Linked DNA regions of Arabidopsis thaliana. The protein of the gene in region 1 interacts with the protein of each later gene in a pairwise test. Each region holds a gene or a part of one and is shown in the gene's direction. Other genes may lie near its edges. The genes, in order: BNQ3 and AT1G09250.

The links.
Region 2: the proteins of BNQ3 (region 1) and AT1G09250 interact in binary tests that used the Arabidopsis thaliana proteins (3 or more experiments, as listed by UniProt).

What each region holds. Positions count from the first base shown.
Region 1 is NC_003074.8:17,588,292-17,592,180, forward strand, and holds BNQ3 (BANQUO 3), read left to right. Parts: upstream 1-2,252; 5' UTR 2,253-2,437; coding exon 2,438-2,566; intron 2,567-3,014; coding exon 3,015-3,164; 3' UTR 3,165-3,379; downstream 3,380-3,889. UniProt on the Arabidopsis thaliana protein: Atypical and probable non DNA-binding bHLH transcription factor that integrates multiple signaling pathways to regulate cell elongation and plant development.
Region 2 is NC_003070.9:2,987,344-2,991,247, forward strand, and holds AT1G09250 (basic helix-loop-helix (bHLH) DNA-binding superfamily protein), read left to right. Parts: upstream 1-1,797; 5' UTR 1,798-2,165; coding exon 2,166-2,789; 3' UTR 2,790-3,084; downstream 3,085-3,904. Other genes in the region: AT1G09245 (Plant self-incompatibility protein S1 family), read right to left, coding at 1-24. UniProt on the Arabidopsis thaliana protein: Atypical bHLH transcription factor probably unable to bind DNA. Negatively regulates brassinosteroid signaling.

The sequences.
Region 1 (3,889 bases):
TTAATATTATATTAGAAAAGTTAAACCAAAGAAATAAAAACTAAATTAAAAGAGAGTACACATCGTGATTCTTCGCTGTATATTCCAAAAACTCATGTGCCCCGACGAGAGCTGAGATCCAAGCTGACCACGCAATAGTACCGTATATTGATTAGTTAATCACAATTCACAAATATTATTATTTGGATATTTTTGGGTTACATTTTATAGTTTCTTTTAATCCTCGGATTTTTAATTACGGATTATAAAAAACCAAAACAATACCTTAAGTTAGTAGTTTGAAAGTACACATATACATATTTAATCACACAAGTTGAGACGACCAAAAAATTTAATTTAATCACATAGTTTGCAAGATGTGCTTGTTTTGATCTGTCAAAAGAGGAATTGTCTCTAATTTATTTCCAAAATTATGAACACTCATATACGGATGTAATGTACATGTATAACTTTTATTTATTGTTTCACCTTATCAAAAAAAAAAAAAAACAATTTTAATAATTGTTACACAAATGATTAAACATATTTTATCGGGTAATGATATACTAATGAGTCATGAGTCCATGTGATTTTTTATTTTGTTTTTTGATCTAAAGATTCATAACTTAAGTATTCTGGTGTAAACATAAAAAGAAAGCAATTTTTTTGAATAATACAAAAAAGAAATCGTTTATTTTCTTAAAACTGTAAATAAAATCAAATGAAAATGTAAAATAAAATAATAAAAAAATGTAAAACAATCCACATATGAAAAAAAAATCTATTACTAGATTAAATCTAATAACGATTTAAAAATAGACAATACGTGTTCGGAATTTGGAATCAAAGTCCAATTTTCTCTTCTAACTTCTTAATTAAAAAACAAACTTTTAGTTTACAATTTATTTAATGAATTAAATTAAAAATATATTTTTTCTCAATTGTTGGTGTAACCATAATTAACTAATGGAATTTTTTGGAGAAAATATTAATTACTTCAATAAAACGAATGTTATTTATTATCTAAATATAAAGATATTACATGATGGGAAGAGAGACGGGTTACCATATAGTTTGATACCTAGACAAATTTCTGTCTGTAGACTATAAAATTATTTATAGGAATCATTTCCATTGATTAGAAATTCTTGAGATATAGTGATAAAATTGTCAGATCTAAATGGATAAATAATCGAGCGCTTGATTGATTATTCCAAATTTGCAATATATTAATCAACTGATTGATGCCCATGGTATACAAATAAAAATGGAAGAAAGACCAAACTAAGGTACACTCAAAATGGAAAAGACTGATATTAGAATTGTTTAATTTCATCTCTAATAAAACTAAATCAACTTAATTATTTATGTTTGTCTGTACATGCTCAAATTAGTATATGTACTAGATCAAGTATGTAACTATATAAATAAATTAATCTTGCAATATAACTATAGAAGTTGATTAACATTTCCAGGAGTTAATCCTAATTTTACAGTTCTTGGATTAATTAAGATATCATACAAACTAATCATAATTTGTAGTCTAGTACCAAAGTTTGTATTATCACCAATTCCAGAATTTATGCAAGTTTGCCGATAAGTATGACAAACATGCATACATATTCTCTTTGTCTTATAAACCCAAAATGTTTTAGTATACTCTATTCGTGCCAAAAAAAAATATGAAAGAAGGTATCCTCCAACTATAATCAAACATCACCTTTTAAATGATTTACTAAAATGGCACAAGATCACTCTTGTTCTGAAGTTGGTTACTAGTGAAACATATATAGAAAAATGAAAACTGGATTAGCAAAAAAAATAATGTGGAATTAAAATGAATTTTAATCTTCTATTTTATAATGAATTGTAATTGGATAAATGGAAATGTTTTTCCTATATAAGTTTAAAAACATAACGAGACGAAAATTTTCTACCGTTAACAACAAAGATGTTCTTGCAAATAAGATAAGCGTTTTTTTATTGCACAAATATATCTATAAATTTTAGATAAAATATAAATTCTTACCCATTGAGATTTGCATAATACTATTCAGAGTGTTTTTTTTCCCTTTCGTTAAAGACTACTAGTCAGAGTGTTAATCTAGTAATTCACCAATTAATTTAACTATACTTAAAAATATTACAGTTTTTAGGAAACATGCTAGAAAAAACATATATAATTTTGCAATTATATTATTCCATGCATACACATGTAGAGCCAAAAACGGAGAAAAATCTTCTATATAAACACAAGTTGAAACCATTCATGTTTATTTTAAGCAGTTGCAGTAGACTCTTCCACTTCTGTATTCAATTCTTCCTTCTTTTTTCTCTTATAATATAAATAACATACAAAGAAAATACTTGCACTCACAAATATTGATTAAAGTTAATTAGTGAACCCTAAGATTTATAAATCTCTAGCTATACTCTACCATATCATATATATTACATAATGTCTAGCAGAAAATCACGTTCAAGACAAACTGGAGCTTCCATGATCACGGATGAACAAATCAACGATCTTGTCCTCCAGCTTCATCGGCTTCTCCCCGAACTTGCTAACAACAGACGCTCTGGAAAGGTACAACGTTCTAATCAATTTTTCATTATGATTCCTTTTAAAAAATTTAATTTCCTCTTTCAAACCTTAAATCTTTTCTAAACCTTTTTAAATCTTCCTTGGATTAGTAGTGGGTACTTAAAAGAACAAACCTCCGGTTTAAAAAAAATAAAAATAATAACTAATATATATCCTCCATCAAAGTTTAACAGTAATTCTTTCATCTTTCTGTTGTTGCAAACAAACGAGAGTCTTTAGTTAGAATTATAAATAAATATTAAACTAATATTCCATATATTCCAATATTGCATGTATGTATTGATTCATTTGATTGTGATGCATTTTGTGACGAGTGCTAAATTTTAATTTCCAAACTAATCGACAATAAATAGCATGCTGCATGCATGATAATTAAATTGTTAATTATATATAAGATCCTTCTTCTTATCAATATATTGGTTACTTTCAGGTTTCAGCATCAAGGGTATTACAAGAGACATGCAGTTACATAAGGAACTTGAGCAAAGAAGTGGATGATCTTAGTGAAAGATTGTCTCAACTTTTGGAATCAACTGATTCAGCTCAAGCTGCACTAATCCGAAGTTTGCTTATGCAGTAGAATTAGTGCAATAAACGAAGGATATTTTTTTCTTTTCTTTTTTTTGAAAAAATGTCTTCTCAGTTTTAATTCCCCTTCTTATTGTATTTATAATGTCTGGCAGCTTGTGTCCCCTGTTAATTATGCAATGTTTTATTTTTAATATATGTAGGGTTTTGTTTTTGTCAGTTGTTGAACGAAGCAAATGGTTTGGGTTTACGTTCACATTATTTAAGGCAACACACTCAATATATGGGCTTAGGTATTTCTTAGATTCTAGGCATTCCAACCAAATCCATCACATTTTAGTAGCAAAAACATTGATTAAATTTTGAATTTACGAGAAGAACAATGTTTTCTAGTGTCATGCATATACGATTATAACGGTGTTTTTGTAGTTAATATCGATAGGAACTAAACTAACGCAAGTCAAATTTTCTGATCAAAATTAGTCGTTAATTTCGCTTAATGGTATAAAGTATATTTTAAGAAGGAATAAAATATGCTAATAAGCCCCCACGGTTTCCATTTCTGGTAACAAGAATACCATTCAACGTCTCGATCAGCAGCAACGTTGAATCGTTGATATCTATATATAGAAGTATAGAACCAAGGGGTAATTTGGTCATTCCAGTTCTAACCCACTTCTATTACAAGAGCAGTTTACTACGTAAAAACGACCGGCCTTCCACTTTCCCGAAAACAGCCAGCGCCCGCACGTAGAGATTTACTGCATATTCAGTTTT
Region 2 (3,904 bases), on another chromosome or scaffold:
CATAAAAATTATAAAACGATTCATTTAAGAGTAATTTGAGACTCCAGTTTGAATTTGATGACATCAATAATGCATTATATATAGTTATTAGTGTGTTAGTATTTTCTTATGGCCTTAACTAAAATTAGTTAAATTGAAACACAAACATGAATTATTAATATATAGGTATTGCCGAAAAAAGTATGGTTGACCAATCCCAATGGATTCAACCTTACAAATCATAGGTGATCCACAAACATCTAACTAAAACCAAAATATTTAAGATATAACAAAAAAATCTTGCAAGTGTACTATTTTAACAGGACAAGTGTATCTTGTAATACGGAAGATTTCGAAAATTTGAACTCCCGATTTCAACATAACAAAATAACATCTGTCCTCGGGCCTATACAGGCCCAGTAAGTCTAACGATAAATGAGCCTTAATGGACTAGATTTAAAACTTTATAAAGGGGCCAAGGCGTTCACAAACCCAACAGTAGGTACAGAAGGCTCCTGGTAATAACTGAAAAGCAACGCAACCACATAGCAAAGACAAGTTACTTGATCCAAGAGAGCTGTTTCCTTTGTGTGATGTTGTTCGATTTTGACCTCAGTGTTTATGAATTCCTGAGTAAGATCTAGTCTTTAACTTCCCCACCTTGGATACTGTATTCACGAATGAGCATGTTTTTGTTCCTTGGGAGATTCCATAATTGGTCTGATGCATATAGACATGTGTTTTTTTTTTTTGGTGTCATATGTGCGCTGTGAATCTTGTGATATTTTAGAATCTAAAAAATATACACGCACAAGAAAAGCTTACGACCACATATATCAATGGGTTCCAGTTTAAAAATTTGGTGAGTATTATTAAGAGAGTCGGAGAAGAAATATTTGAGCGTGGTTAAAATATTAAGAAAAGGAAGAGACATGGAGACGATGTCTCAATTAAGGGGGCAAGCCTCTCTGGCCAATTACAGAGAAAAGGGCCCTTTTAGATTCTCTTCAAGATCTTCTTTTTTTTTTTCTTGTTTTTTTTGGTATAAATCACACATTTACTACAAAAATGCACTTATAATATTTAGTGTCAACTCATAATTGCTAAAACATTTCTCTCGTGTTTTCCATAGCAAGGTGCCAAAAACGAATTGATCAAGAAAAGTAAATGTTTTACATTAGTTACTATAGAATTTAGATCATGGTTTGTTTAAGATTTAGAACTTGGTGTAGGAACTAATAATTCCCTCGTGATATATGACAAATTGACAATGACATTCACCGTTACGAAGGATCGAATTTTGTCAAGAAAAAATATTTTCTAAACTATGGTATGAAGACAATATACATATACTACTCATTACTCTTGAATTTTATTTTTGTTTTTCCTTTGTAGACTACTCATTACTCTTTAGATTGAGATATCAATTAGAAACATACAAATCACACACAAAATAGTGGGAAACGGCAAAGGAGAGAATTTGTTGGCGGAAAATTGTCCACAACATTACAAATGAGTAAAGGTCACACAAAAGAGATCCTTTTTTCTCATATGGCAGCGCCATGAAAATGGTCACATGGAATGCTTTTTTGGTAAATTTTCTTTTCTCTTTTGCTTATTTCACTCTCTGAGTGCTTTTTTCCCTTTCTCTGCTTACCTTTAAAATAAAATAAAACCACATGAATTCTACCGCAACCACTTGAAACAAAAGATTCAACATCACCCTTTATTTCTCAACTTATCAAAAATATATATATCAATCGTCTATATTCTTTGACCTTTGGAGTTACAATGTATAAACATAGAAAATATATTTGCATCGCTCAGCATTTTGACTATTAAAGGGCATAATTTTGGAGCTTCATGCCAAGGCAAAAAGATAAAGAACAATCACATGAATGACAAAAGATTAAAAACAAAAGATTTTTAACTAATGAAAAAAAACACAAAAAACAAATACCGGTAAATAAGGGCAAAAGTGGAATTAAGTGTTATAGCTCCGCTGGCGATTGGCAGAGATATAAAAACTGATCTCTCTCCATTCATCTTCTCTTGTTTCTAACTAGTCACATTGAGAGAGAGAGAGAGAGAAAGAGAGACTCTCAGAATCTGAAGAAGAAGAAGAGATTGTTGTTTTTGCCTTTTATCATCGGTTTCTTTGAATCTCTGGTTTTAAATCGGATTTAATGGTGGAGTCTCTGTTCCCGAGCATCGAAAACACAGGTGAATCGTCTCGAAGAAAGAAGCCGAGGATATCAGAGACGGCGGAGGCGGAGATAGAGGCACGACGTGTCAACGAAGAAAGCTTGAAGAGATGGAAAACGAATCGTGTGCAACAGATCTACGCTTGTAAGCTCGTCGAAGCTTTACGCCGAGTTCGTCAGAGATCTTCCACCACCAGCAACAACGAGACCGATAAACTCGTCTCCGGCGCGGCGAGGGAGATACGTGATACGGCGGATCGAGTTCTAGCTGCGTCCGCTCGTGGTACGACTCGGTGGAGCAGAGCGATTTTAGCGAGTCGCGTCCGAGCGAAGCTGAAGAAACATAGAAAGGCGAAAAAGTCAACGGGAAATTGTAAATCGAGAAAAGGTCTCACGGAGACGAATCGGATTAAGTTACCGGCGGTTGAGAGAAAACTGAAGATTCTTGGCCGTTTGGTTCCTGGTTGCCGGAAAGTCTCTGTACCGAATCTTTTAGATGAAGCGACCGATTACATCGCAGCGTTAGAGATGCAGGTTCGAGCCATGGAGGCTCTCGCCGAACTTTTAACCGCAGCCGCACCACGGACGACGTTGACCGGAACTTAACGGCGGCAGTTAGTTTGTCAGTTGTTAATTAGCTTTTCTTTTACCTTTTTACCCCTTTATTTTGGCTTCAAGTGTTTTTTTTTTCTCGTCGACGCGATTTTAATTTATTAAATTCATGTATTTTATTTGTATACATCATCACTTCTTTTTTTTTGTATCCATTTTGATCTTTCTTTGTTTTTTCGTTAGATAATCAAAGTTATCTAAACAATAACAACAACAAAATGCCAACTAATGTCGATTCCAAAAATTGTTTAACGCTTTAAAAAAAAATTAGACCTACAAATTAAAGAAACTAAAAAGTAAGGAGAAGAACAAATAATTTGCAAGTTGAAGCAATTCAAAAATGAGCATGTGCGTGTAACGTGTTGAGGACACCCACCTTAATTTTGGGGCCAATGGACTCCATGTGATTCTCAAAGACTTTTTCCGACGTTGAAGTTTATGTCGAAAAGTGTATTTTTTGCTCAAAATGCCCTCAAAATCTTTCAAACTGATTAGAAAAAAACATTTACTTGAATGTCAACATTAATTATGATAACAAGGAGTAGCATACGACTCTTCAAGAGAACTGACATTATGAAAAATTGATGATTATGGTATAAAATACAAGTTAGTAAAAGTTAGTTGTCAGAAGAAATCCACTAGGAATAACATTGAAAGAAGTGGTGAGCAAAAAGGACCACAAAAATGGAACCAAAAGAAGAGGAAACAATAAGATTGAGAAATGAGTCTCTTGGAACATCTTTTTTCCCTCTTTAAGACTCCCCACGTGTGCTCTTTCTTTTAACACCCAATATGTCTTTCAAAAGCATTCACACCTTTTTGTTGTATATCAAATTAAATGGCAACATGTTTGTGGGTCATTGTGTCTTCCAAGTTATATAAGAAGATTTCTCACAAAATCCATCTTGATAAGTCCTTGGATCGAGCTTGGAGGATGTGCTATAGGTTTTAAATATATATATTTTAAGTACATGTTAGATGAAACTTAAAAAAAACTAATTTATGGTTGTATTTCAAAGATATTTGTCAACTGAGATAGATAGGTTATCCAAATGTCATCTATCGACATACTGCATCTTTTGTCCTTTTCTAGTTTTCTTAATACGGCT